Struthio camelus: one gene and its partner. The protein of the gene in region 2 interacts with the protein of the main gene of each other region in a biochemical or structural test. Links are inferred from orthologs where the notes say so. Each region holds a gene or a part of one and is shown on either strand. Other genes may lie near its edges. The genes, in order: SEMA4A and PLXND1.

Region 1 (14,707 bases), on a different chromosome or scaffold from region 2:
CGCCCGCCCTTGGGCATCTTCCTCCTCCTCCTCCTCCTCCTGGGTGGCCGCCGGCTCGCGCAGCATGTACTGGGCCACCGTCCAGGTGTAGCCGTTCTCGGTGGCCTGGCAGCGGTAGAGGCCGGCCGCCCCGCGCCGCACGAGCACCAGCAGCGTGTGGTCGGGCAGCAGCACGGTGGTGGCGGTGGTGGCGGTGGTGGTGGTGGTGGTGGTGGTCTCCTCCGGTGGCCCCGCGGCCGGCTGCTGCCAGGCGTAGGTGGCCAGGGCCGAGCGCCGCGGGCACGGCAGCCGCACCACGGTGTGCGGCGCGGGGCTGAGCGCTGCGGGGACACGGGCCGGCCACGGAGAGGGGAGAGGGGACGGGGGCGAGCTCAGGTGCCGCCCGCCGCGTGCCCCCACCGTGGTGCCCCCCCATCCCACCCTCCGTCCGTCATCACCCTTCCCCGATACTCAACTCTCTACGGCGGCGTCCGGCGACGTCCCGGCTCGGGGCACCGTCCCGCTCCGGCCCCGGTGGCAAGCGGCGGCCGGCTGGCCCGCTTCGACGTCCTGCAGCCAACCGCTCCTGCGGCCGCCGGCGCTCGGCCTCACCATCCCCGCCTCGGCCCCGCTCCGTGTCCCTAACCCCCGTCCCCGGCGGCCCTCCCGCTGTCCCCATCCCCGCTGACCCCGGCCCCGGTGTCTCCCTGCTTGTCCCCGGCCCCAGCATCCCTGGTGTCCCCACCCCCAGCGTCCCCATTCCCATCCCCGGTGTCCCCATGGTGTCCCCATCCCCAATGTCCCCATGCTGGTGTTTCCATCCCCATCCCTGGTGTCCCCCCCCCCAGTGTCCTCAACCCCGATGTCCCCATCCCCAGTGCCCCCATCCCTGGTATCCCCATCCCTCGTGTCCCCATCCCCATCCCCAGTATCTCCATGGTGGTGTCCCCATCCCCAGTGCCCCCATCCCCATCCCTCCTGTCCCCATCCCCATCCCTGGTGTCCCCATGGTGTCCCCATCTCCAATGTCCCCATGCTGGTGTCCCCCCCCGCAGTGTCCTCAACCCCGATGTCCCCATCCCCAGTGTCCCCATCCCTGGTATCCCCATCCCTCGTGTCCCCATCCCCATCCCCAGTATCTCCATGGTGGTGTCCCCATCCCCAGTGCCCTCATCCCCATCCCTCATGTCCCCATCCCCAGTGCCCCCCCATTCCCATCCCCAGTATCTCCATGCTGATGTCCCCATCCCCAGTGCCCCCATCCTCACCCCTGGTGTCCCCATCCCTGGTGCCCCCAACCCCATCCATGGTGTCCCCATCCCCAGTGTCCCCCCACTCCCATCCCCAGTATCTCCGTGCTGGTGTCCCCATCCCTGGTGTCCCCATTCCCACCCCTGGTGTCCCCATCCCTGGTGCCTCCATCTCCATCCCTGGTGTCCCCATTCCCATCCCCAGTATCTCCATGTTGATGTCTCCATCCCCGGTGCCTCCATCTCCAACCCGCCACCCCCGTCCCCGGCGGCCCGGCTCACGGGTGGGCGCCGGCGTGGCGCACGGGCCGGCAGGAGCGGTTGAGGCCGTCCCAGGCGCAGTAGGGGTCGCGGGCCAGCAGGCACTCGGCGCAGCTCCCGTACACGCTGCAGTTGGCCAGCGGCACCTGCAGCACCCCGCCGGAGTAGCCCACGTAGAGGACGCCCTGGGGGCAGAGGCGCCGGGCTGAGCCCCGACTCAACTCGGCCCGGCTCAGATCGGCTGGCAGCAGCTCCCACCGGTACCCACCTTGCCCGGGGCCAGCAGCAGGCTCTTCACCGGCTCGGGCGGGTGGAAGAGCTGGATGCTCTCCACGATGTGGGAGGTCCCCGGCAGCTCCACCGCTTTCTCCAGGGACCCGTCGGCTGCGGGGACAGGCCGGACGTCACCCGGCGGTGGGGTCTGACAAGCCACCAGGGTGGCCCAGCCTCCCGCCGACCTACCGGTGGCCAGGAAGAGGACACGGTAGGAGGTCCCCGAGAGGCCGCGGGGCTCGTCCACGGCGATGCGCGTGTACTCGACGCCCGTCCGCACCAGCACGGGCCGCCCCTGGCTGGGCAGCACCTTCCCGTCCATGAGGAAGTGGTCCTTCATGAAGGTCAGCGCTTTGTCCGAGGAGGGGCCCACGGAGCACTGCGGAGCCGGCGGGGGGAAACTGAGGCACGGCCCCAGGAGGAGGACGGAAAACCCTTGCCCGTCGCCGGCGAAGGACTCACGCTGCCGGGCCGGGGGCTCATGTCGGGCCCCCCGTAGACGGTCCAGCGGGAGCTCTCCTTGTTCAGCTCCTTGTACTTGCCCTTGAAGACCTCCTCGACCGCCTCCTGGCTGTAGGCGCACACGGCCGCGCTGCCGGCCGTGCCCGCCTGCCTGCGGGGACCGGCGCCGTGGGCGAGGGGCCGGGGCCGCCCCCATATCCCCGGGCACGTCTCCAAATCCCCGTGCACGCCCCAAAATCCCCATGCATGCCCCAAAACCCCCATGCACAACCCTGAGATCCCCATGCACACTCCAAATCTCTGTGCACACCCCCAAATCCCTGTGCACAGCCCTGAAATCCCCGTGCATGCCCCCCATATCCCCGTGCACACCCAAATCCCTGTGCACACCCCCAAATCCCTGTGCACACCCAAACCCCTGTGCACACCCCTAACCCCCCCTGCACGCCCAAATCCCCGTTCATGCCCAAATCCCCGGGCATGTCCCCAAATCCCTGTGTGCTTCCCAAACCCCCCTGAACACCCCAAACCCCCATGCATGCCCAAATCCCTGTGTGCATCCCAAACCCCTGTGCACGCCCAAATCCCGGTGCACGCCCAAATCCCCATACGTGCCCCCAAATCCCTGTGCAGACCCCCAAATCTCCGTGCACGCCCCCCAAACCCCTGCGCACACCCAAATCCCTGTGCAGACCCCCAAATCTCCGTGCACGCCCCCCAAATCCCTGTGCACAGCCTGAAATCCCCGGGCACACCCAAATCCCCGGGCACACCCCCAAATCCCCGTGCATGCCCCCCAAATCCCCGTGCTCACCCATATCCCTGTGCACACCCACAAATCCCCATGCACACCCTCGAATCCCTGTGCACACCCCCAAATCCCCATGCCCACCCCCAAATCCCCGTGCCCACCCCCCAAATCCCTTTGCACGCCTGAATCCCTGTGTGCATCCTAAACCCCTCTGCATGCCCCAAACCCCTCTGCGTGCCCCAAACCCCCTTGCCCACCCCAAACCCCCCCCGCGCACGCCCCCAGGCCCCCGGCGCGCGCCCCCGAGGAGCCCGGCCCTACCACTGCGAGGTGAAGACGGCGTAGAAGTCGGCGCGGCCGGCGCGGCGGGGCAGCCCGACGGCGTGCCGGATGACGTTGAAGGCGAAGCGGCCGGGCTGCGAGCACACCAGCTGCGCCTTGAGGAACGTCGTCCACTTCTTCTGCAGCACCTTGTCGCCGCCGACGTCGCTCTGCGGCGGCGGCGGCCGCTCAGCACCCCGAGGCGGCCGGCCGGCCGGCCGCGACCCGCCTGCCCGGCCCCGTCCTACCTTGCAGACGCGGGCCACCCGCGGCACCAGCAGCCGCTCGAAGAAGTCAAACTCGTCGGCCGTCTCCTCCAAGAAGAAGTAGACCTTGTCGTCGCCCGGCGCGGAGAAGGAGGCCACGAAGGCGGCGTCGGCTGCGGGGCAGGACCCGGGGCGGTCAGGTGCCGGCGCGGGGGACCCTCGGCGCGCCGCCGTGTCCCCCGTCCCCGGCTTCGTCCCCACCTGAGAGCCAGCGCAGGAAGGCGTCCGTCTTGAGCGGCGTCCGGCCGCCCAGCGAGCGGGAGATGATGGGCTCGTTGCCTTGGAAGTTGTTCATGGTGCCGGCGTAGAGCTCGCCGTCTAGCCGGCCGAGGAGCGGGCCTGAGCGGGTCCTCGCCTGCCCAACCGCCCCGCGGCGTCCCCACCACCCCAACCCCAACCCCGGCCCCGAACTCACCCACCAGCAGGGCCGTGTGGGCGTGCTGGGGGTCGAAGGGACACTGGCCCTTGCCGTCCAGGAAAGGTTGTCCTCGGCCGCTGGACACCAGCGTGAAGTTCTCCAGATGCTGGAGGGGGGAAAGGGCCAGCGGTGATGGGGAAGGAAACCCCCAAAACTGAAGCCCTCCAAGCTCGGGGACACAACTCACCACGTAGGTGCACGCCGGGCTGAAGGCGTAGGTGCCGCAGGCGTACAGGTGGGTCCGGTTGAGGGCCACGAGCACCCGCACGAAGTTGAAGCACTCGGTCTGCGCGGGGCCGGGCGCGGGTGAAGCGGGGCGGCGCGGACGCGTCCCACCCGCCCGCCGGCCCCGCTCTTCCTCACCTCCCGGCTCTTCTTCTTGAAGGCGCACTCGGAGGTCTTCTCCGCCGTGGGGCCCCACGGGATCTGAGGAGGCAGGTGAGACGGTGCCGAGGCCGGGGAAGGAAGGGGAAGGGGGAAACCGAGGCACGGCAAGCGACCACGCCGCCGCCCGCTCACCGAAGCCTCGCCGGGGACGGCGGCCGGCCCCACGGCGAGGGCCAGCAGCCGGTCGCGGGCCCCCACGTACAGCTCCTCCTCGTCCTCGCGCAGCAGCAGGACGTCGCAGTCGGAGACGTCGGGCGGGCCGAGGCGGGCGAGGGGCCGCCGGGCGTCCCCTGGCAGCGCCCCCCCCCCAAAAAAATAAAAAACCCCTCGAGCAGCTCTTCCCTGCCCCAAGGCGGGTGCGTTCCCGGCTGCGCCGCGCCGGGATTGGGGGGGGGGGGCTGCGTCGCCCACCCGGATGTGCCCAAATGCACCCCCCTCCCCCCCCCCCAGCAGCGGCTGCAAAGGCAGAAATTAAGAAGAGGGAAATTTGGCAACTCCCCGAACCGCGGTGCCGGGAAGGGGAAGTGGCGGGGTGGGGGCTGCGCCGGGCCCCCCACCAGCCGGTTCGGGGGGGACCAAGCCTCTCCCCGCCGCCCGACCTCAGCCCCTGGGGTGCAGCTCCGCAACCCCGCTAATTACCCCTTTTTAATTACCGCCGGCCACCGGGAAAGCCGGCCCCCCCGCGCGCCGGCCGGCCGGGATGCTCCCTGGCTACCCGGCCGGATGCTCGGCACCGGCGGCGGGACGGATGCGCCCCCCCCCCCCAAGCTGCTGCCCCCCGACCCGGCTTGTCCCCATGCTCCCCCCCTCTTTTCCGTTTCCTTCCCCCCCCCCCCAACATTTTTCCCCCCAACCCCGCGCCGGGGGGCCGCACTCACCGGCGGCGAAGGCGACGCGGGGCAGCGGCTCGGCGCGGAGGACGGCGGCCGGCAGCAGCACGGCGCAGAGCAGGCGGAGGGCCGCGCCGGGCATGGCGGGGGGCACGGCGGTCCGGGCCGGGGAGGGAGGCGGGGGGGACGCCGCGCCGCGGGGCCCCGGCACCGTCCCTGCGCGGAGGCCCGGCGTGAGCGGCGACGAGGCGGCAAGCGGAAACGAGAGCGGGAAGCCCGGGGGGCCGCCCCGGCATGTGGGGCGACGTCGCCGGCGGGCACCGCGGCTGGCCTCCGTTTGCCCCCTGCGGATCCTCCCCCCTCCCCCCCCCGCCGATATTGCACTCCAGCTGAGCAGGCCTGACGCCACGGTGATGGGCGTTACCTCTCCGGCGGGTGAGGAAGGAGCTCGGTCACCCGTGGGTGTTGAGTGCCGTCGCCCAGAGGGTGCCCGGCCCCGGGGGGCCGCCGGCAGCGGGGATCGGCGGGTCCATACCCGGCGCCCCGGCCGCGCTCCCTGCAGCCTGCCGCGGCCGCCCCGGCTGGGGAGGAGCCGGCGGTGCCGCCGGGGCCTCCGCGAACCAGAAAGTCTTGCTGGGGGAGGACGAGCCCCAGCAGGTCGAGGGCCCGGCACCCGCCTCGCCCGCCCGCGCTCCCCAAGGGCCCGGACGCCTGGGTCCCCTCCCTGACGCTGGGCGAGAGCTCTGGGCTCGGAGCACAGCGGGTCCTGCCCGGCGCCGAGCATCACCCCACGAACACCCCCTGGGGCCGAGCATCACCCGCACGAAGAGCCCAGGCGTCCGGCCCCCCCCCAATCCCAGCACCCGGCCCCCCCATCCCGGCCTGCCTACCTGCCTGCCCCCGGGGCGGCGGGCACGGCGGGGCACCCTCTCCCCGCCACCTCGCTCGGCCGGCACAGAAAGCTCCTTGTGAGCCCAGAAAGTAGGTTACTCGGCGCCGGATTTGCCACCGGCGGCCGGTTTGGCTGCGAACCGGGGCCGCCCGGAGCCTCGCACCGGCCGCATTGTTGCGCCCTGGGCCGGAGCCACCGGGGCCGGCGGAGGGGAGGAGGGACGGGAAAGGAGGCGACGGCGGCGGCTCTCGGGGACGGGAGAAGCCCACGCGGGAGCGGGGCTGTGAAACGAGAGCAGCCCCGAGGCTGCTCCGGCGGGCGCTGCGGGCCGCGAGCTCCTGCCGCCTCGCGGACCCGCCGCCTCCTCGCCCAGCCGGGCGATCCTCCCGGAGCTCAGGAAAATGCAGCCGCTTTGCACAAGAGCGGATTAACCCTTCCCCGCTGGGGCCCCGAGCCCGGCTGCACACCCGGCCCCTGGGACGCCGCGCTGCACCGGCAGGGCTGTCCCCGTGCCTCAGTTTCCCCCGGGGGCTGCAACGGTGCGGTGAGCTGCAGGCTCGGGGTGGGGGCTGCTTTGCACCTGCCTGGGCCCCAGTGCAGGGGGGGGGCAGAGGGGGAGGCAGAGCAGGACGTGGGGGGATGCACGGGGTGGGGGGAGGCAAAAGGGGAGTGCAGGAAGGATATGGGGGATTTTTGGCAATGTTTTGCAGGGGTGGGATTCAGGGGGTGCATAGCGGGGCTGCAAAGTGGGATGTAAGGGGAGAAATGTAAGTGGATGCAAAGGGGGGGCTGGCAAGGGGAGATGCAAGGAGGGATGCTGGGGGGGATGCGAAGGGGGATGCAATGGGGGGATGCAAAGGGGGGATGCAATGGGGAGGGATGCAAAAGGGAGATGTAAGGGGGGCTTGCAAGAGGGGTTTGCAAGGGGAGCTTGCAAGGGGGGAAATGCAAAGAGGGGGATGCAAAAGAGGGGGGGGATGCAAAGCGGGGCAGGGATGCAGGGATGATCTCCCTGGACTGGGACCCTCAACCCCTTCGTCGCCCCGGATCATCGGAGCCATCCGAGGGGTCGCCCCCCAGCCACGGCCCTGCCACAGCAAACCCCAGCCCCAGCCCGAAGCCCCCCAGGCCACCGGGGATCCCCCCCCCCCCAAGGAGCTGCCCCCGTCCCCGTCCCCACGCGGCACCGACCTGGCGGAGCAGCGGCGCGGCGGCCGCGGGGGAGGCCTGCCGGGGCCAGCATCCCTTGTGGGGCCGCCGGATCCTGCTCACATCACCATGGCTACGGCTCGCCTCGCGCCGGCTCCGGCGGGCATCACCCGCACCCGCGCACACCCGCACACGCACGCACACCCGCACGGCCGCGGCCGCGCTCCCGCGGCCACGTGCGCCTCGACACGCAGCCGTGCACACGCCTGCACGCGCCGGGACACGCACCGACGTGCACGCTCGTGCATGCCCGCGGGTGGGCTCAGGCGTGCCCATGTACACGGACGCGTGCACGGACCTGCACACGCGTGCACGGACCTGCACACATGCACACACGGACCTGCACATGTGCACACAGAGCTGCACACACATGCACGGACCTGCACACGTGTGCACGGACCTTCACACGCGTGCACGGACCTTCACACGCGTGCACGGACCTGCACACATGCACACACGGACCTGCACATGTGCACACGGATCTGCACACACATGCACGGACCTGCACACGCGTGCACAGACCTTCACACGCACGCACGGACCTGCACACGCACACACGGACCTGCACACATGCACACAAGGACCTGCACATGTGCACACGGATCTGCACACACATGCACGGACCTGCACACATGCGCACGGACCTGCACATGCACGCACAGACCTGTACATGTGTGCACAGACCTGCACACGTGTGCACGGACCTTCACACGCACGCACGGACCTGCACACGCACACACGGACCTGCACACGCACGCACAGACCTGAACGCAGCCGTGCAGAGCGGCCCCTCCGGCGGCTGCACGCACACGCGTGTCCTGTCCGGCGGCTCCTGACGTGCTCCGCCGCCCTGTCCCTGCGGCGCGCGGCCCCCTCCTCGCTCCCTGGCAGCGCCCCGGCTCCGGGGTGCCTCGATTTCGCTTCGCTAAATCACTTCCCCCCTCAAAAACCCCCCGGCGGAAGAACCCCCGGCTCGTCTGGCACCGGTGGGTCCCACTTCTGCTTCGCTCCGCGCGCTCCTTCCCCTTCCCCAGGCGGCTGCCAGCCCCCGCCGGCCGCGGCCGCCCTCCGCCACCGCCTTCCCTTCCCGCGCGGCCTCTGCCCTGTCCCTTTGCCCGGCGCCAGCGGCAGCCACGGAGGGGGAGCAACGCGGCTGGATGCGGGGCGGGGGGGGCGGCAGGGCAGCGCCGGGCACGGCCGGATCCGGCAGAAAGGGAAGGGCAACGCGAGGACGGACTTGCACAACGCAGCACGCGGCACCCCGGAAACGTTGCCGCCCGACGGGCTTTGCACGAGCCGGGGTGCTGGGCTGCACCCCACGCACGTCGCCCCCCCTCCCCGCCCCGGCTCGGCCCCCGTTTCGCCCGGCACGCGGGGGCCAAGGCCCCGAGCGGGCCCAGGTGTCCGGGTCCCCCCGGCGCTCGGGTGCCCGAAGGTGCTCGCGCCCGGTGCCAACCCGCTCCCGGGCAGCCGGATGGTCTTAGCCAAAACCCGCTGCCAGGAGGCAGAGGCAGAGCCCGGCCCCTGGGACCCCGGCGTCCCGCGCTCCCCCCTCCCCGGCCTCGGACCCCCGCGGCCGCCCCGCGACGGCGAGCGCCCGGCTTAACCGCGGCGGGGTCAGCGGGGCAGCCTGGCCTCAATCCCCCGCGGCATCGCCGTCTTTGCTAAATAACCCGCCGCTTCGGGGACGGACCCGTGACTGCCGGGGGCAGGACGCCCGCGCCGACGGCTGCGGGGCGAGCGCCCGGGGGGCTGCATCGGCCTCGGGGCCCCCCCTGCCCGAACCGCTGCACCAACCCCCTCCGGGGACGGGGGAGACGCTGGTGCACAGGCAGCGCCGTGCATCCCGGGGGGCTGCCCGGTCCCTGCCAGCCGGCCCAAATCTGCAGGAAAAGCCCCCCCTGCCCCGGCACAGCTCAGCCCCGCTGGCACCCGAGCCCCCCCGGCGGGTGGGGAGGGGGGGGGGAGCCACCCCGTGCCGCTGGGAGAGGGCCCCGGCGTCCTGGGCCGCGCCACGGCGGCGGGCACCTACCTGGCTGCGGCTGCGCCCCGGCCGCCCGCGAGCCGGTGCCTCACATCGCGGCGCCCGGCAAAGCCGATCACGCGCCGGCTTTAGGGCTCTCCTCCCGCCGACCTCTCCTCCCGCCTCGCATCAGCGCCGCTGCGCGGGTGCCGGCCCGGCGCGGCCTGGCACGGCCTGCCCGGCCCCCTGCCCGCTCCCGCTGCCCCAGGCCCCTCCGTCCCTTCCCAGAAACCTTGGCCGGGTGGGAAAAAGCATTGAAACGTCCCCAGATTTCACCCTCCCGGCCCCGCGGAGACGCCGGCCGGCCGGCCCGGCTTGCAGCATCCCTCCCCGCGGCGCTCGGGGACGCCAATCACGACAGCACACGGGGCGGGAAGGGATCTCGCTTGTATTGATTTCGGGAGGAAATACAGGCGGTAAATAGAGAAGCTTCGCTAGCAGGTAGCGGCACGCGCGCGGGTCCCGCCGGCGGAGGCGACGCTTCGGAGCGGGAGGCGGAGGGGGGGCCTTGGGGTGAGCGTCCCCCAAAACGGCGTGGGAAAAAAAAGCAGAAATCTCCGCCGACAGCTGGACGGGGCCTCAGGCGAAGCCGGGGCGGGTTGGGGGGGGGATCTGCCCCGAAAACCCCCCCTTCCCTCGAACCAACCCCGCTCTTTCCCCACAAACCAGCCCCGTGTTGCGCTAAGCACCCTCGTCCCGCCGCCGAACTGGGCTCCCGAACTCCCGCCGCCGGGCCGAGAGCAGCCAACGCCGCCGCGAAAAGGAGAAGCAAAAAACACCCGCCGCCCCGCGCGGCCGCCACCGCGGTGCTCGGCGGCCTGCGGGCAGGACGGGGCGCTGGGTGCCAGCCCGCCGCAGCTCGGCCCGCTCGCTCGCCCGCGCCGGGGACGCCCGGCTCGGCCCAGGGCTCGGGAAAGCTCCGTGGGATTTTCACTTCCCGCCTCGGTCTAACCTCCATCCCTCGGCGGGGGCGAGCCCGGCCAGCCCGTGGCACCGCAGCTCCCGCAGCGGCACCCCCGGCCGCCCCGCAGGGTCCGCGCCTTCCTTAAGGCACACAGTGGCTGCTTTAAAAAAAAAGAAAGAAAAGGGGGGAAAAAAAAAAAACCCAAAAAGGGGAGGGGGAAGGACGTGCCTCTGGCCGGGAATACAGTACACGGAGCGAGCTCCGGCGGCAGCGGAGCGGCGGCTGCCGCAGGCGCGGGCGGCCGGCAGGAAGGCAATGCCCACGCGGCCCCGGGAGCCCCCCGAGCCGGCACCGCGGGGGGGGAAAAGAAAAAAAAACCCCAACGACAACAAGAACAGAAGGAATTTGGGTCCAAATCCAAAAAAAAAAAAGGTGGGTGGGTTGCAAAGGCGCTTTGCTCTCCTGCAGACGACGACCCTCCAAGGCAGGCGCCCGCGAGCGCGGCCGGGTGACTCGCGGGGTGGCGCCGAGCCCCGGCACCGCCGACGATCCGGCCCGGGCGTCTCGACCCGCCAACGGCGCCCGATGCAGCGCGCCGCTCTCGGGGCTCCGGCGGGGATGGCTTTACTTCTCCTAGTCCTATATAAAAAGCTTTGGCAAAAAAGGTTATCATCTAAAGAGCCGTTAAACTACAATCTGTTTCTGCATTGCTGCTCGGTAAACAATTCCTCGGTGTCTTTGGCTGAAGTTTTAAAAAAATTTTGAAGCTGAAAAGCTTTTTTTTTTTTGGTTTTTTTTTTATAGAAATAGATTTTTTCTTTACAAAAAAAAAATCAAAGCATCTTTTAGCATTTTTTTTTATATATATATATATATAAAATTCCTGCTATAGAAAACAAAAAAACCCCAACCTTGGTTTTCGACTTTTTTTAAGGAAAAAAAAAATATTTTGCTTTGGGAAAAACTAGCTCGAGATGGCCAGGAAACATAGGAATGGCACCTTGGAGTTACATGATGCTGCAGTTTTGTGGAGCCTGAGCCTGGAAGGAAAGAGAAGAAAGAAGAAGAAAAATCCAGCGTCACTATCCGTTTGCTCCCACTGTAGCGGTGGTGACGGGCAGCAACGTCTGAGCGGGGACCGCTCGGGCACCCGCCGCGCTCTCGGCAGCCTCGCGCTCCGCCGCCGAGCGCGGGCGCCACGTGCAGCCTCGGCCGCACGTCATGCTCCGGGTCGGGCTGGGGTATTTATAGCGCTGAAGTCAGAAACATAATTAGTGGTAATATATGAGGGTAATAATATTGAGGAGAATACTGCTGATCTGATAGCAAATGCCAAGCGCTGAAATATTCACGTTGCCACCGTTAATAGCGCTTGGCCGCCGTGCATTTGCCGCACCGGCACGATAACGGTGGCGGGTGACGGATACCCTGGCACGGTGCCACCGGGCGCTCGCTGACGGCGGGATGGCGCCGGGCCAGCAAGGGGAAGCCGTCCCCAGTCGCTGCCCCGCGCCTGATGGCACGAGCCGCCTTCGAGCGGGACGAGCCCGCGGGGACGGCGTGTCCGAGCCTGAGCCGTGGCCTCGGCTGGGAGGGAGGACAAGGCCAAAGGCAGGACTCAAAGGGTCCGTGCGGCTTCATCCTCTCCCTGTCCCACTGCTGGGAGACGGGGGCCTTCTGGCCGCCGGCTTCTCCGCCCGGCTGAGCCGATCGTCTCCCTTTACTCCAGCGTCTCGGCTCGTCTCCTTGGAGCGAGGGACATGAGCTTATAGACCTTATAGACCTTACACATGCCAGTAGATGCCCAGGGCAAGGAGAAGAGAGGAGGAAAAGAGGGAGGGAGAAGAGACACCCGCAGCATTGGCTTGTCAAGAAAGGATGATGCAAGGCCAGGAAAAAGACCAGCCAGAGCAGGAAGAGCCTGTCCCCAAGGCTCAGCAGGGTCTGGAAACGGCACTGACCTGCCTACGTGGGCTGGAGCTCCCCAGGATGTAGGACCTGGTGACCAGGTTGTCCCCCAGGCTGCTGCTGCCGCCTCCGGAGCCGCCGACGCTGCGGTAGCTGCGGGTGACGGTCACGCTGGAGGTGGACGACCCTGAGGACATGGTGCCGATGCCGGCGTTCTGGCTTCCCGACTTCTCGGCCGGCTGGCCGCACGTGCCGCAGACAACCGTGCGCGAGCGCAGGTTGTACTCGCCGGGGTCACCAGAGCCGCTGCAGCTGGCCTAAACGGGGGGAAACACACACAAAAAGGTCCTTGAGTACCTGTCTGAGCGCCTTCTGGCTTGAGCGTCCTACCCCGAGGACCGCGGCAGCACCAGGCATGACCCCGGCGGCCTCTTCTCATTGCTCTTCGGAGTTTTTGTCCGTGCTCATCTTCAGCTGAGAGCATCCTCCTCCTTATTACCTCTGAAGAGCCCAGCTCGAGTCGGCTGACTGCTTCCTGCTGGGAAACTCGCCCTTGGAAAGGATTCAGGCCTCTGACAAATGGGCAGCGCTGGCCCATGGGAGCCTGGCTCGTTCATCCAGGGATAATCAATATCCCTCTTGGCAAAGCTCTTTGGATCCAGAGCAATTAGAAGGGAAGCTGATCATGTACCTCGCATCCAGCTCCTGCTATGCAAAGCCCCGGGGAGCTGCATCTGGCAGATTTTTCGGCAGCATCGAGGCGTGCGGTCAGGGAGAGAGCACCTCTCCGTGCACGATTCCCGCGGGTGCCTCCTGCGCGAGACACAGATCTCTGCCCCCAGGGACGGGCTGGTGGGGGGCTCCCATCGCTGCAGCCAGGGATGTTTGCTTTGATGCAGGCAGAAGGGGCCGCAGCTCCGTTTCTGGCACGCTGCCTGTTCTCCGCATGCTGCTGTTCCTGGGCATATTTCAGCTCAGCGAAGGGAGTGATGGGCTGAGCGGAAGGACAAAGTCACCTCTGGATTTGTTCCAGAGCCCTGGTGAAGCAGAGAGGTTGGAGCAGCTGCCGTTGGGAAGCGTCTTCCATCAACTTTCCACCATCCTGTCTTCCAGCTCTGGGTGGGCTACTCCAGATAGCAGCTCGCCCTCTGTCCCAGTTCCTCCATGCCTTCATGCAGTAGGTCAAGGTCCTTCTGGGTTGGAGATGCTTTCAGCTTGCCCCCATCACCATCACCAGAGAGGTCTGCAGAGCCCTCCTGGTGAGCAGGCATCTTCTCTGAGCGCCGGTCTGCTGGCTTCTTCCACGTGGTTGTTTCCAGTGCACCCTTCCAGGTGCCTTCTCCCATAGGGTCTGATCCTCCGTGGTGCCGAACGGCCTCCCACCCCGATCCAAGCAGCAGGAGTGGACCAGAAGTGCCCAGCCAGAGCTGGGACCAGAGCTGAGCTCCCCCAGCATCCCTGCAACTGACCCCCCGGGCCCAGCGCCTTCCTGAGCATGGTACTCACATGGTGATGGCGGTGGTGGATGCTGACTTCATCATCCTCATCATCCTCGTCTTCGTCGTTGATGATCACAGTGCGGACCAGCTTCCGCATGGCCACCTCCTGGAGGGGACAGGAGAGGGGTCAGAGGGCTCTGGCCCGTGCTGCTTCGCCGCCCCGCTGGATTGTGTCGGCCGGCTCCCCTCCCCGTGCCGTGGCGTGCCCCAGCCCCGCGCGCTCTCACCTCGCCGTTGGAGTTGATCAGGGCAGTCCGCAGGCTCTCCCCAGAGCCCCAGCTGCTCTGGGATTTCCACACCAGGTCGCTGGGGGGGCTGTGGGTCGCCCCAGCCCCCGAGGCCCAGATCTGCGGAGAAAAGCACAGAGAACGGTGATGCCGTGGGGCGGCAGAGCCCAGACCCCGGGGATATGGGTCAGGTCCCCAGCAGAGCCATGTGCCAAGGAGCCCGCTGCCTGGCGCCAACCCGAGCAATCGTATGCCTCGCTCTGCATCGCCTCTGAAGGCTCCCAAGACCAATGGCCTGGCTGGGGTTGGGGCCTCCGCTGATCCCCCCCAGGAGCCCAGCAGGACCTTCACCGTGACTCACCGTGACTATCTGGCCAGCCTTCAAGGTGAACTTTGGGGGGAAGCGGTAGGTGATGGGGGGATCGTCTCCATTCTGCCGCTTGATCTGCCAGTTGCCCATCGCCTGGTCCTGCGAGAGAGAAAGCAGCAACCTTGAGACCCTCCAGCTCGTCCCAGTTTGCCTCCTGCCCACAGGGTGAAGTGGGGCTGAATTACACCAGCAGGGATCCAGCAGGCCCTGGGGATCCTCCCTGGAGGCAAACGCACCTCGTTGGACTTGTTCCGGAGACGGACGAATCTGCCCTCCAAGTCCACCTCTTCCACACCGACGCGCCCGCTCGTCCGAGCGTGATGGGAGAAGCTGGTCCGGCTCTCGCTGTCCTCGAGCTTCCTCTTCTTGGAGGAGCCCGGGGTGAAGTGGATCCCATGGCCACGAGATCCCCCTTTTTGGGAGGAGGGGCTGGGAGACAGCCTCAGCCTGGACAGGGGGAGAAGGCGAGATGGAGTC
Region 2 (14,318 bases):
TCCCAATGACCTCGTGGTGTCCCCATGGCCTTGTGGTGCCCGCATGGCCTTGTGGTGTCCCCACGGCCTCGGGGCGTCCCAATGACCTCGTGGTGTCCCCATGGCCTTGTGGTGCCCGCATGGCCTTGTGGTGCCCCCATGGCCTCAGGGCGCCCCCATGGCCTCGGGGCATCCTCAAGGCTGGCATGGGGCCTCGTGGTGTCTCCATGGCCTTGTGGTGCCCCCATGGCCTCGTGGTGTCCCCACAGTGGGCACAAGGCCTCGTGGCGTCCCCGTGGCGGACGTGGGGCTCCTCCCCTGGGTGGCCGACGGCCGCGTGGCCTAGCGACGGCGGGACCAGCGCCCCGGGGGCAGAGCCGAAGCACCCGGAGCCTGGTTGCTTTTCCACCTTGATTTAGTATTGGCTTTGACAAGCGCCGTCTCCTGGCTCCTCCGATACTGCCAGCTGTGCCTGATGCTGTTGATTTGATAATGTGTCTAATGCGGCTTCTTGAAAACAGCTGGTATGGGGGAGCTGCTCTGCTCCCCCTTGAGCCGTCTCCCTTCCCTGCCTTCGTTCCGCCCGGTCCGTCCGGGAAACAGTCCGGTTCGCTCCCGCAGCGCGGCCGGGCGCCGGGGCTGCTGCCGGCCGAGGGGCGCCGAGGGACGGCACCGCGCGGGGCTGGGCCTCTCGGTCGCGGGAGGGGAGCGCGGCCGGGGCCGGGGCCGGGGACTGGAGCCGGAGCTGGTGCCGGCGCCCATCCCCGTGGCGCTGGGCCGCGCACCACTCTCGGCCCGAGCCCCGCGCGGCCGCCGCTCGCGCCCCCCCGAGCCGGGCGTTGTCCGCCGCGGCCCGACGTTGCCCATCGGTCTCTTCTGCCTTCGCTGAAGCTGAAAACGAAGGAGGCCGTTCCCCGCGTCCCGCAAGGACAGCGCGGGGGCGGCGGAGGGCGGAGGCCGGGGCCTCGCGGGGGAACCACGGCGGGACGGCCGGAAGAACGGCCGTGGAAACTGCCGCCCCGTTTCCTCCGCCCTCTCCCTGGTTAGCTGAGGAAGAACCACTCTTTCACCTTCCTCACGGTGTCTTCATTGGCTGAGCGCTCCCTCGGCGCCCGGCTATCGCGCCAAGCAGCCAGGCTGCCGCCGGAGGGCGGGCGGCGGGCGCCCCAAGCTGCCAGCAGCCCTGGGGGCGGGTGGCTCGCCCGCCGGGGGTCTGCGCGGGGGAAGGGGAGAGGCGGCTCCGCTTTCGGCAGGCGGGACGGGTCCAGCGCTGCGCTGCTGGCGGGAAGCACCCTGCTCTCCTCCCTCCCCGGTGTCCCCATGGCCTTGTGGTGCCTCCATGGCCTCAGGGCGCCCCCATGGCCTCAGGGCATCCTCAAGGCTGGCATGGGGCCTTGTGGTGCCCCCATGGCCTTGTGGTGCCCCCATGGCCTCGGGGCGTCCCCACGGCCTCGTGGTGCCCCCATGGCCTCGGGGCGTCCCCACGGCCTTGTGGTGTCCCAATGACCTCGTGGTGTCCCTCCGACCCGGAGCTCCCCACCCGCCCCAACGACACCAGAAGAGCCACTGCTTTTCTTAAGTTGGCAAAGAAGGGTTCAAACTTTGCTGTCCCAAACGGGGGCAACGCGTGCAGAGGTGCGACACCAATGCCTCGTTGCTGTCCCTCTCCAGTCCCCCAAGGCGGTCCGTCCGCCCCAGCGTCCCGGCTGAGCCGGCGGTGCCTGGGTCCGGGGCCGCCCGGGAGAGCGGAGCGCCGCGGAGGCCTTGCAGCCCGGCGCCGGCCCGCGGTGGGGCCGGCCAGGGCCCGGCCGGGCGCTGGTGCGGGGCCGGGGCCGGGGCTGCTCCCCTTCCGCCTTTCCCGCCGGGCGGGCGGCGCGACGGTCCGGCGGCAGGAGCGGAGGACGTTGGACCATCACGCTCGTCTGTCTGCCTTGCTGTCACCGAAGTAATTCAGGCGAGGCCAAGCGCGTTACTTGGATCCTCTAAGGTATAATTTAGGCACGAGATGTTTACAATCAACTCTCATTTGCATCGGCAGGGAGGAAAACATGGGATCGGCCGGATATTTCAACCGGCGGGTGAATTACTAGTGCAAGCATGGCTATCGATGGAGCCTCCCGCACCTGGAGGGCGCGGCGGCCAAGGGGGCAGGACGGGCAGCCGGGGGCGCTCGGCGCGGGACCCGGCCCGTCAGCAGGCTGCTCCATCTCGCCCCGCTTTGCCGCTGCCTCCGCCTCCCTCGCTGCCGGCCGCTGGGGCCCTTCGGGGCGCCCGTTCTGCTGCCCAGCCCGGATAATCCCCAGAAAAAGCTGTTCTCACTTGTGTAGAAACTTAAGCAAATGTTTCCGTTCGCGCTCGGTGCTTTGCAACGTCCGTATTAGGGGCGCGCACGGTCTGTAACGTTGGGCTTGCGGTGAGCTCGGCGCCGGCAGGCGTGCGTGCGTGCACCGCGCCGTCTGCGCTGCGCCTGGACGGCGTCCCCACCGGGCGCTCCTGCGGCCGCCGCTCACGCACCCCAGACCGATCGGGGTGGCACCCGGTGACGTTTTGATGCCAGGTGACGCCCTACAAGCGACGTTACGACGAGAGGCCACCAGAGGCCACGTGAACCACACGCTGCCCAACTCTGAAGCTGAGACTTACGTGGCGCCGGCAGAAGGCGGATCGTTGCTGGGTGCAGGCACGAAGGCACCTCAGGTTTCCTAGCCGCAGGCGGTTCACGCGTTGGGCACGGATGGTCAGGGGTAACTCGCGCGTGCCGTCCTGGAAGCGCACGGGTGCCGCGGTCCGGATACGGGACGGGGGAGACCACGGGGCGGCCAGGCCGGAGAGGGCCTTCCCGTCCCTGGAAGGGCGTAGGTGCTCTGAGGGCCCCGCGCGGGTCCTGACGCGTTGCAGGCCCGGGCGCCCGGGCTGGGGATGGAGGTGGGGGCCGGGAGGGCAGCACCGAGGGGCAGGGGCTGGGGTGGCCCCGGGAGCGTCCTGGCGGGACCTGGAGGTGTTGATGAGCTGGGTTCGTTGGGCCATCGGGTATGGTGGCTACTGCTAGGGTAGGTTTCGAGATGGTGCCGTCAAGGCCCACCTGGAAAGGGTCTGGCTGGGGCCGGCCTGGTGGGGACGGTGTGTCAGCAGCCCGGCTGCCTGCAGAAGTTACTGGGCTATGTTCAGGGGGACTTTGGGAAAGACGTGCTGCCTGACTTCGGATTATAGCAATGCAAATCACCTCCAGTGACCTGAAGGTGGATCTGCGCTAGCGAGACCCCCGCGAGCCAGCACGGGCCGGGGTCTGGCAGCGTCCTCCGAGCCGGGTTTGGGCAGGGGCAGCAATGGTCCCACGCGGGGAGCAGGGCTGGGTCTGTCGGCGAGGCGGAGGAGCTGGGACCAGAACCAGAAGATGCCGCCGGGTTGCATTTGGGTTTTGCGGTGGTCGGGCCTGCCCTCCGAAGGACTTGTCGGGCTGGTGGTGGGTCTGCTGCTTCTCTGTGCAGCGAGGTAGAGACCGGAGGTGCTTAAAGCCCAAAGAGGGTTGAATCAGAGCCCAGTGCAACATGGAATAATTTTTAAGCACTTTGAAATTTTAATCAAAATGTTTGAGTTGATACGAAGAAGCTCAAAGCAAACGATAATTCCACAGCTAACCACATCTGACGCTTTCACCCCAAAGCAGAGAGTGAGCGTCAGTACCGAGGCCTCGCCAAGCCCCGCCAACACGGCCAAAACAAGGCCGAAGCCGCTCAGGTAAGTGAAACTGGTTGGAACGAACAGGGGCGCTGTGGATAGTAGTAATATCGTCACAGCCCGGTCGGGCAGGTCCTGCCGCTGCGCTCGACCGAGCCCCTTCGCGGCGGCAGCCTCGGGCCCAACGCGCCGCGGGCCGGCGAAGGGGCTCGCGGGGAGAAGCGGGATCCCGCCCGGAAAGCTCCCGGCCCCGAAGCCCCCCGGCCGCTGGGCCGCGGCGCGCAGACCCGACCCCGGCCGCGCGGCGGGGAGCAAACCCGGCCACGCCGGGGCGGCTCTCGCGCCGTCGGTGGCGTCTCAGCCGGTGCCGCTGCAGGGGTCGTCCTCCATCAGGACGTCTTTCGTGGGTGGGAGAGCGATCAGCCGCGAGGGCTGCAAACGAGGCTGATAACGCTCCTGAGCGCGGCCGGTGGTTTCCCCGTCAGGGACGGGCGGAGGCCGGTGCGGGCGCCCCCGGCCCTGCGGCAGCGGCCCCCCCCGTGCAACGCCTCCGCTGGGCACCCGGCGCGGGAGCGACACCGCGGCCCGGCCGCAGGCAGCCCGCTGGCGGCTGCGGAGCCAAACCAGCCCGTCGCCCACGCGCGGGGCCGGCTTCCCCCGGTCCGCGCAGCGCTTCACGGGCTCCTTGCGGGTAAACCCCCTGAATAAATAGATGTTTATACCCCCCCCGCCCCGTACTAAAGCGATTAGGTCCCGCTTTTCAACAGTGTCGAGTCGATATAACCCGAGTGACTGCATGAGCAACTCATGTTTCCCCTAAAGGGAAACTGTTCTCGTGTAAATATATTTATTAATAATTAAAGTGTTTTTGAGTTCCTCTGCACACAGCCCCTCTCCCCCGCAGAGAGGTCTGAAAAGCTGTTATCTTTAAACGTGCGAAGGAGGCAAACGGGAAGGGCTTTGGCTGGGCGGGTGATTGTCTATTGCAGCAGGCGTGTGGTTTAATTTTGACCTTTTTTTCCTTCCTGAACACAAAATAATGGTGAGATCTGCGTATAAGAGATTTAAAAACCTCTGCTGCTCCATTAGGAACATTATCTATCCTGAAAGATTCACTAGGGCTTCTAACAGCCCAGATAATAGGGGTGGGAAATCATTTCTGGAAAACATTCCCCTCAAAGCATCTTACCAGAGGATTGTTTCCTAACAAAAACAACCGTAATAAAATCTTTGTCAAATAATCCTTCAATATCACAAATATTTTGGCTTTAATTGCATCAGTGCAGATAACCGCTCAGTGTAGGAAATGGGCGTCAGAACTCCTGGGGGAATTTTCTGACAAAGCCAGTACTGGATACCTTTGGGTAAGTCGCACATTTCTCTGTATTCTTTGGCCTAATTTTTTTTAACTGACTGTAATCTGGAATTTAATTTGATATGCCTTAAAAGGCTGATTTCACATGGAAGATGCTCTACTATCAGGATAAGCAGGCATAAGAAATCCTAAAATAGGCAGATTAAGGGTTTGGGATCACGAGGGTTTATTTCTGTGCAATTAAAGACATGATCACATTAAAAAATTGCTAACTTGTAGTTTAAAAAAAAAGGACTAAGAAGCCCCACATTTAAAAACAGCTAATATCGCTATTAATTAAGGATATGATTAGCAGAGACAATGCGTTCGATAGCGCAAAAGCACAACATTTAATTCAACGCACATTTTCAGCGGACGTGGCGTGGCCGAGGCAGTTATGTATTAATTAGCGCTCCGAGGAGGGCGAGGAGGACTGGAGGGGGGTGAGGAAAATTGGCAGGTGTAGAAATGAGATTGGACAGCAGCAGCACGTTTGTTTCCGTCCCGAACGCAAGTCGCTCCGCGTCCTCCTCAGCCTCGCTAGCGTGTCTGCGTCGGTGAAAGCCGAACGAGCGGGGCCGAGGCTGCAAGGTGCTGCCCGGGGGGGTGGCAGGTTTCAGGGCATCCCGCCCGCGTCAGCCCCGCGGGGCACGCGTGGGGGCACGCTCGGCCCCACGCGGTACAGGGGCACCGGCGCCTCGACGCTAGCCCGGCACCCGCCGTGGCCGGGACGTCGCGGGGTGTCGCAGAGCGAAGGCAGCGCATGAGCCCCCCGCTCCTGGCACCCCTCCGCGCCCGCCCACCCCGCGGGCAGCGCGGCCCCCGGCCCAGAGCCCGCCGCCGTCCCCGCGGCTGCGCAGCGGCCTTCCGGGGGGGGGCGGGGGGGAGCGCGCAAGCTCCGCGGGGGCGGCACGGCCGGGCGGGGGGCGCGCAGGCTCCGGGGGGGGTCGGCCCGGGCGGGGGGCGCGCAGGCTCCGCGGGGGCGGCACGGCCGGGGGGGGGGGCGCGCAGGCTCCGCGGGGGCGGCCCGGCCGGGGGGGGGGGCGCGCAGGCTCCGCGGGGGCGGCACGGCCGGGGGGGCAGAAGACGCGCGAGGCAAACCGCCACCTTCGCCTGGGCGGCAGCGCTTTCCCACGCCGATAAGGGAGGGAGGATCACAGGCCGCGCTATCTCGGGGGCATTTTCCCTCTGTGCAGTTCAGTGGGTGGAATTTAGGAATCCCAGCACCTCTTTTTTTTTTTTCTTTCACTGTCAAAAAGAGCCGATGGAGGGCAGAGGAGACGCACGGTCCTGTCTTGAGCTCTGCTTTTGGCAAGCGGTGCGGGCAGGGCTGGCTCTGCGGTGGAGCCCGGGGGAGCCCGCGCTGCCGGGCGCGCCGCAGCCCCGTTCCCACGGGGGCTGCTCCGTTCCCACGGGGCTGCCGCGCTCCCACGGGGGCTGCCGCGTTCCCACGGGGGCTGCTCCGTTCCCACGGGGGCTGCCGCGTTCCCACGGGGGCTGCTCCGTCTCCGGGGGGGAGGCTGCCCCGTCCGCTGCTCGGCGGCGCCCCGCGGGGCTCCCCGGCAGCCCGCAGCGATCCCGGCGGCGCGGGGAGGGGAGGGACCGGCCGGGGAGCGGCAGGGACCGGGGCGAGCGGTCGCGCTGCCGGGACCGAAACACCGGGGAGGCCGCAGCGAGCCCCCCCCCCCCCCTTTACGTGCCTGGAATATTTCTTCACTTAATGCATGGCCCCCGCAAGCCCCGGCGCGCGGCCGCTTCCAAGCGGAGCCCCGGGGCCGAGGCTGCTCGGGCCGGCCGCGCTGCCGCGCAGTGGGGAAGAGCGCTCCGCGCCGCCCGGCCCCGCTCTGCTCAGAAACGTAAGGAGAGGAACAAGGGAGAGAGAGGAAGGAACACGAGTTATTTGTTGCTAGCGGGGCCGCGCTCGAGGAACAAGGCGCTGCCGCTTTTTGCGTTTGCCTGGTGCGAGGCTCGCGCGGCAGCTCGGGGGAAATATTTTCAACTTAATCACATTCACATGACAAACCCTAAAGAAGGAGGGGATGAGTAATGCCAAAAGCGAGGGGGCGGGGGCGCGGCGGGCCGGGCCGGGCGGAGGCGCGGCCGCCCCGGACGTGAGCGCGCCCCGCCGCCCCCCGCCGCGCCCGCCCCTCGCCGCCTTCCCCGCCTGCTCCGCGCCGCGGCAGCCGGCTCCGCGGGAGCGCTCCTCTGCGGCCCCGCCGGCGGCACCATGGCTCCGGCTCCGGCGGCGGCGGGCGCGGGGCCGCGGGGCTCCGCCGCGCTGCTGCCGCCGCCGCCGCCGCTGCTGCTGCTGCTGCTGCCGCTGCTGCTGCTGCCGCCGCTGCCGGGCGCCGGGCTGGAGGTGCAGCGCAAGTTCCTCTCGCCCACCCCCACCAACAACTTCGCGCTGGACGGCGCGGGCACCCGCGTCTACCTGGCGGCCGTCAACCGGCTGTACCAGCTCTCGGGGCCCAACCTGACGCTGGAGGTGGAGGAGGCGGTGGGGCCGGTGCTGGACAACCCGCTGTGCCACGCGCCGCAGCTGCCGCAGGCCTCCTGCGAGCACCCCAAGGTGCTCACCAACAACTACAACAAGCTGCTGCAGCCCGACCCGGCGCAGGGCGTGCTGGTGGTCTGCGGCTCCATCTACCAGGGCTTCTGCCAGCTGCGCAGCATGGCCAACATCTCCGCCGTGGCCGTGCGCTTCCCGCCGGGCGGCGGCGGCGGCGACGAGCCGGTCACCGTCTTCCCCAGCATGCTCAACGTGGCGGCCAACCACCCCAACGCCTCCACCGTGGGGCTGGTGCTGCGCCGCGGCGGCGACACGCGGCTGCTGGTGGCCGCCACCTACACGGGCTTCGGCAGCCCCTTCTTCCCCCGCAACCAGAGCCTGGAGGACCACCGCTTCGAGAACACGCCCGAGATCGCCATCCGCGCCCTCAACGCCCGCGGCGACCTGGCCCGCCTCTTCACCTTCGACATCAACCCCTCCGACGACAACATCTTCAAGATCAAGCAGGGCGCCAAGGCGCGGCACAAGCTGAGCTTCGTGCGCGCCTTCCTGCACGGCGGCGCCCGGCGCCCCGCGCCCGCCGCCCGCCGCCCCTACGCCTACCTGGCGCTCAACAGCGAGGCCAACGCGGGCAGCAAGGAGAGCCCCTCGCACAGCCTGCTGGCGCGCATCTGCCTGGGCGACGCGGCCGAGCCGCCGCTCAACGGCAGCGCCGAGCCCAAGAAGCTGACCGAGTCCTACATCCAGCTGGGGCTGCGCTGCGGCGCGGCCGGCGGCTTCACGCGGCTCGTGTCCGTGTGCCCGGCGCGGGCGGGCGGCGGCGGCGAGCGGCTCTTCGGCGTCTTCGCGCGGGCGGGCGGCGGGCGGCCGCGCTCGGCCCTCTGCGCCTTCCGCTTCGCCGACATCGAGGAGGCCATCCGGGCGGCGCGCAGCGCCTGCTTCGCCAGCCCGGCCGCCGGCGCCGTGGCCGTGCTGGACAGCGTGGTGCAGGGCACCGGCCCGGCCTGCGAGAAGAGGAACATCCAGGTAGGGGGGCGCGGGCGGCGGGCACCGGGCACCGGGCGGGCGCTCCCCCCCACCCCCCCGGGCCGCGCGCCCACGCGGGACCGCCGCCGCCGCGTGGGTGTGCGCTGCCCCGCTGCGGCGCGCCGAGCCAGGCGCGGCGCCGCTCACGCGTAGAGAGACCTGCGGGTGTGCGCGGTGCCCCCCCCATCAAGGACCGTCTCCATTCCCACGTCCCCTGTCCCCAGTGGACTCGCAGTGACTCACACTTTATTTTTCTGACTCTCGCTGGCGGCTGCTCCCTGCGCGGACGCGGAGGGACAGCAGCCCGGCCAGCGTCCTCGGGTCCAGCCGCTCCCTTCCCACGTCCCCGCGGCGGGCGGCGCGTGCTCCGCGCAGAGCGGGACCTGCGCACAGAGGCTGCCTTGTTTGCTTGCGTTTGGGGTGAAAGTTTTGCCATTGTCACAATTTGTTACCAAGTGGGCATAAACGCTAAAGCCAGATAAAGACGCCTGTTTTCCCCTTCACTAAAGACGTGCACTGTTTAAAAAAAAAAAAAAAAAAAAAGAAAAGAAAGAAAAAGAAGAAGGAGCTGCTTTACCCCTGCATTTTTCCCTTCCTCTGGGAAGGATGCATAACTCAGCTCCGTCAGAGATCGTAAAAACATCTGTTTGGTTTCAGAGGCAAGACAGAGCGTTTGGGCTCCGGCTTCCCTGCGCTGTGCCAGTGGCAGAGAGAAAGGTTTGCCATGGTAACCGAGGTGTTTAGTGTGGCATCGCCACGCTGTGTTAACATACGTAGTCTTAATGCTCGGGTTCATAGACCTGCTCTAGCAAAGTTGCATAGCTTTCCCCTGGTGGCAAAGTACAAGCTGCCTGACAGCCAGGAAGTCTGGTAGTTGTCCTGGCTTTTGAGTTAATTCCACAAAGACTCAGTGCATTAAACACCAGGAGCCCAGCTCTGAAGTCCTGGCACGGTCACAGCTCTCGGAGGAGTCGCTGGGAGTCAGGAATCGTATTTACAGGACTGGAAAACACCTGCGGTTCTTGTTGGCGTTAGTTGAAGCTCAGCGTCCCTGAGAATCAGACCCTCAGCACCTCGCAGGATCGTAACGTCCCAGTCGAAGCCCCCGAGAGCAGACGTTGTGGCTGAGGTTTCTGGGAATTATTTAGAGCGTTAAGGGTCCAATTTTAATTGAAAGTCAATGGCAGAAAGGCACCCGGCTCCCCTGAGCTTCCCCAGTACTCCTTGACTGTTTGAAAAATGCATTTTTTTTCTGACTTTTGTTCAATAGGGAAAATAATAACTCTGGTGTATTACTATTTGAAATATCAAAAATTGTATCTGGTTATATCTAGTGAGATGTTTAGACACCTGATTCCTCCGTTTCTCAGCGCGTCACTCGGCACGTAACGGCTCGGCACGTAACTGAGGGTTTCCCTGCGTCTTTGGATCTGGCCCATAACGTTGTTCCACCCACCCTAAGGCGTACCCCTAAGAGCACCGCTCCTCTCGGTACTCTGAGGAGGTGGGAAGGGTGGCGGAAAGGCTGAGACTGGCCTAACCCAGAGCCAAAGACAGTGCCAGAAGGAGGATGAGGAGCAGGTTTTACAGCGCAGAGCAATTACCTACAGGAAATAACAAAATCAGTAAATGTTTTTGAGAACTACACTTCTAATGAGCTTAATTCTGACATAAATGCCACACTCAGGAGCTTATCTGAGCATGGAGGTGACTAGGAATATACTGTCTGCTAGTTCTGTAAAGGAATGGCTGCGTTCTGGAGGATGGTTGAATTTAAGATTGGGTATACGATATTCAGAGGAGCAAGCTGTAAAATGCTGGGCCTCCTCTAATCCTACAGAAGTCAGCAGAAATCCTCTATGTTTAGCATTGCGGCAAGATCAGGCCATAGGAAAACTTGCGTTTGCAGCGAAGCAGCGGTATGGGTTAGTGGTAGTGGGGCTGGGCAGGGAAAGCTGGGTCCTGGAGCGGGCTTTGCACGCATGCTGCCTGGGTGCTGGTGCTCATCGTTCCCCCCTCGGGTGCCTCAGTTTCCTGACTTGCAGCATGCGCCGCCTATATTTGTTACCGTTATTCAGAAGCCTAACTCACACGGAGTAAGGGATTACAGTTGTAAAGCTGCTCTGAGATCCTTTGATGTCGAGTACAGCAGGATATAAGTGAGGCATACTATTAATATTCGCTCGTGCTTAATATTTCTGCATTTCCCATTTATTTGAGGCGTTATTTCTCTCAAAACACTGACCAAGCCTGCTGGGAAGCCTTCTTACCAGTCAGAAGGCGAGCTTTTCATTATTTCTTTTTCCTTTTACTTAATCTTTAGAATTGCCAACAAGTTAACAAGCTGTTTTCCTTCTCGAGTCCCAGAGTGGCTGTGTCAAGAGAAGAGCTGTAATACTGTGTTTCTTTGTGCTGCAGAAATCTAACATCGTTTTCCACCTTGGAGACGATGAAATATTCCAATGCGTTTTGCGTCCCGGCCTGGGGACACAGCAGGAAAATGCGTTGCAGCAGAGCTGGTTGGGTGGTGCGGCTGGGCATCTAGCCGCCTTCCCGTTAAAAGCGCCACTTCTCCAACCTGTTAGTGGGCTCCCGAGATTTCTTTTGCCTACGTGTAGCTTAGAGGTGCTCGAGCATTACCAAAATTGCAGTTGGTTAGTTCTTTCTGTAGACTAGGCTGCTGGGTTTTAAACTCCTTCTGGAAAAAACCCGTGTAATGGTTGCCTGACTCGCTGCAAAAACACGTTAGGCTAAAGTGGTCGGCGGTTACGGCAGGGCGCGCTGGCTGCTGGGCGTAATGCTGCGTGAAAGGGAAATCATTGCCCCCTCGTGTGCTGTTCCGACTAATTGAATGCTCCTCGCCTGCAGCACTTAACCGTGGGACGAAACCGCCGGCGCGGGAGAGCGGGCGCGAGCGGCGGCCGTCGGGGTCGGGGTCGGGCGATGCCCCGCTCCGGCGGCCCTCGGACCCGTAGGGGGGTGCCGTGGCCCGGGGGGGCGGCGGGCAGCGGCGCTCGGCCTGGGCTCCCGCTGCGGAGGTACCGGCGCCTCGGGCCCTTGAGGGGTCCCCGACGGCTGGGTGGGACGGGTTGCGGGCTCGGCCTGGGGATGGTCCTGTTCGCTTTGGCGAGGGGCGCGCTTGGCGGCTGCGCTGAGAGGCGGGGGGCGCGGGAACCGTCCTAGGCAAGGGGTGGAGGCGGGCTGGGGCTCGACGAGCGCGGTGTCTCATCGCTCCCCCGGGAGCTGAGTTAACACCGGCGGCTTAGGGGAAGGGGTATGCATTAAGGAAGGATTGAGTTTGAGCTTTTTCTCCCCGCCCCCCCCCCCCTTTTTCCTTTTTTTTGGACTGAGAGTGAATGGGTGAGCTCTAGTATTGCTTTCCCTCAACAGAAAGAGCTTTTTATAATAAATTTTGTGTCAAACAGTGGGCTGTTTCTGTAACACGGGCAGTTCAAATGAAACGCCCACGTGAAGTCATTGCCGCGTTTTCACCACGAAAATCCTCGGCAGAACTTGAACCCAGGCCTCCAGGAGAGAAAAGGAGCACGCAGTCTCTGCCGTAGCCGCCCTGTCCTCAGCGCGGCTTGCAGCAGTGAGCTGACAGGCCTTGCCAAAGCCTGGGGAGCCCCAGCGGGTGCCTCCCTGTTTAACCTCTTCCGCCCAGCTGGCTCGCGGTCCGGTGGGCGCCAGGGCCGCGCAGGGCTCCCGGCGTCCCCCTCGGCAGCGCTAGAAACGACGCTGCGGCGGCTCCTCCGGCGCCGGCTGGCCGCGCTGCCCCACGCCGTCCGCGTCCCGACGGGCTCCCGTCTCCGGCCGGCGCGTAGGGCAGGGGACGCGCCGGGGGCTGCCGGGCAGTTTCAGCTCCCTTTCCTCGGCTGCAACAACAGCACGATGACAAGTAAACATGAATTTTAGGTCATCTCTACAACCCTTCGCGCTGTCTGTATCCCAGTGTTGGCTGCTTTGAGGATCCGAGTTTAACACAAAATAAAATACAATATACGACAAACTCACAGTTGAAAGAAAGCGAAGCTGGTAACCCCACCCCAGGCACCTGAATCCTTCAGCCGCCTTTTGTGTTTTCCCACCTAGAGCCCCACCGTCTCCTTAAAAGAAAAAAAAAATCTCTGGACGGTACTAGAGAAAGCAGATGTGTTGTCGTTCGATTTAAATTTGCAATCCAGGGATCCACGTCTCCCCTGGAAAATGTTTTGGGGTCTACATCTCAAAAAAAAAAAAAAAAAAAGCTAAAAACCTTGTTTGTTTTATATGCTGAAAAACTTGGGCACAGCAGCGTGGGATAATGTTGCAATTTAGCATCAATTCTCAAGTTTCTGGCTCTTGTGGCTTTGTGTCAGATCCTGCATGTTCATCGGACGCCGTGTTTTGTGGGGCAACGATGAGATAGCCACCAGTGAGTTTTACTACAGCGGGCTGTTAAATGAAATGAACTTCTTGGGTAGATTATATAAACAGTTTCAGGGTATGTATGCTTGGGCATGGAAATATGGTTTGAAACCAGTAAGAAAATGTTCCCAAAATAAAAACTTGTATACACGTGGGAATATGACAAAGCATCTACTTACCGTCCAAATACGCTGTGGCGTCTCTGTGGGATTGGGTTTTATAGGAGCTGAGTTACTTTGAAGTGCTGGTTTATACTAATTTAGAAATACTAAACATGAAAATAAATGTGCTCTAACCTTACATCTACTCAAATAAATCCGGAGGATTAGCCACAGAAAGGAAACTGGGAATTTGCACTTAATTTATTTGTACATTAAAAATAAAGCAAAACTCCTTGTAGCAGGCAATTTCGGCTTTTCACGGCATACGTTGCATTTGGAGTTTGCTAGCATTCATGTGAGGCTGAAAAATACCCTATTATTGCAAAGTTATTGTTGTGTCCACGTAATCTGTTTTGCTTCTGAAAGTTGTTTGCAGGCAAAGCAGAGGCCGGTGTCCTGTGCCTGGGGGTTTGCTCTGCAGGCGGCGGCGGTGGGCCCGTGCCGGGAGGGACCTTCCTGCCCGGGAGCGCTGGCCCCCGGGAGCGGGGCCGCGCTCAGGGAGCCCCTGCGCCCGCTTTGGGGGTGAGAGCTGCAGGCGGCTCCCGGCTGCGGGAGAGCCGGAGCCTGTTTCTGGCATGAGAAGCTGTGCTGCTGGCTGGTGCTCGCGAGCCGATCCGGGAAGGGCGCGGGGTCTCCCGCACCGGTCGGGGTCTCGGCGAGCTGGCAACGCAGGCGCAGCGGGCTGACCGGTCTGGTGGCGCGTGCAAATTCAGATTGACTTTGTTCAGCAGAGTTCACCGGATCTCCTGTAACGAACTAAAGGGTTAGGTGAAAAACAGGGCAAGAATAATTCTTCCCAAGTCCCGTGTTTCACGTGGAAATACAAACTGCAGCCTCAGTCTCTGCCTCTCTCAGCCAGAAGGATGCTGGCAGCCCTAGGAAGACCACGCTCGTAATGTACGGGGACAGTGAATCATCGCGTGGGAGCGGTCCCTTCTTTCAGGGGTTTTGAAGCATTTTTACCTTGCGTGGCGCCCGCTGGTTCCCATGGCAGGTGGAGGGCTGGCTCGCGGCCGGCTCCCCTGGGCGTCCCGTTGCGTGTTCGGAGTTGCCGGCGCAGCTGCGAGATCTCGGTGGGTAGAGCTGCAGAGATTGTCGCTTCCCTTTTCTGAAATTTTTTTTTTTTAAGTCTTATTTTATGGCGATTGAGAGAGAAGATTTATGGGGCTGAGGGCAAAGGTGAATAAAGCACCTAGAGGTGCGG

Evidence for each region.
Region 1: the proteins of PLXND1 (region 2) and SEMA4A form a complex in vitro, tested with the Homo sapiens proteins (2 studies listed by IntAct, with this or other methods). The link is inferred for Struthio camelus from reciprocal best matches to the Homo sapiens genes PLXND1 and SEMA4A.

What each region holds. Positions count from the first base shown.
Region 1 is NC_090971.1:3,847,345-3,862,051, reverse strand, and holds the start of SEMA4A (semaphorin-4A), read right to left. Parts: upstream 6,207-14,707; 5' UTR 5,983-6,206; coding exon 5,247-5,982; intron 4,659-5,246; coding exon 4,501-4,658; intron 4,408-4,500; coding exon 4,345-4,407; intron 4,268-4,344; coding exon 4,169-4,267; intron 4,088-4,168; coding exon 3,979-4,087; intron 3,882-3,978; coding exon 3,765-3,881; intron 3,677-3,764; coding exon 3,546-3,676; intron 3,468-3,545; coding exon 3,298-3,467; intron 2,377-3,297; coding exon 2,226-2,376; intron 2,143-2,225; coding exon 1,953-2,142; intron 1,875-1,952; coding exon 1,759-1,874; intron 1,676-1,758; coding exon 1,512-1,675; intron 566-1,511; coding exon 456-565; intron 321-455; coding exon 1-320. Other genes in the region: LMNA (lamin), read right to left, coding at 11,234-11,266, 12,188-12,451, 13,641-13,739, 13,861-13,980, 14,222-14,329, 14,467-14,677. UniProt on the Homo sapiens protein: Cell surface receptor for PLXNB1, PLXNB2, PLXNB3 and PLXND1 that plays an important role in cell-cell signaling. Regulates glutamatergic and GABAergic synapse development.
Region 2 is NC_090955.1:662,445-676,762, forward strand, and holds the start of PLXND1 (plexin-D1), read left to right. Parts: upstream 1-7,238; coding exon 7,239-8,546; intron 8,547-14,318. UniProt on the Homo sapiens protein: Cell surface receptor for SEMA4A and for class 3 semaphorins, such as SEMA3A, SEMA3C and SEMA3E. Plays an important role in cell-cell signaling, and in regulating the migration of a wide spectrum of cell types.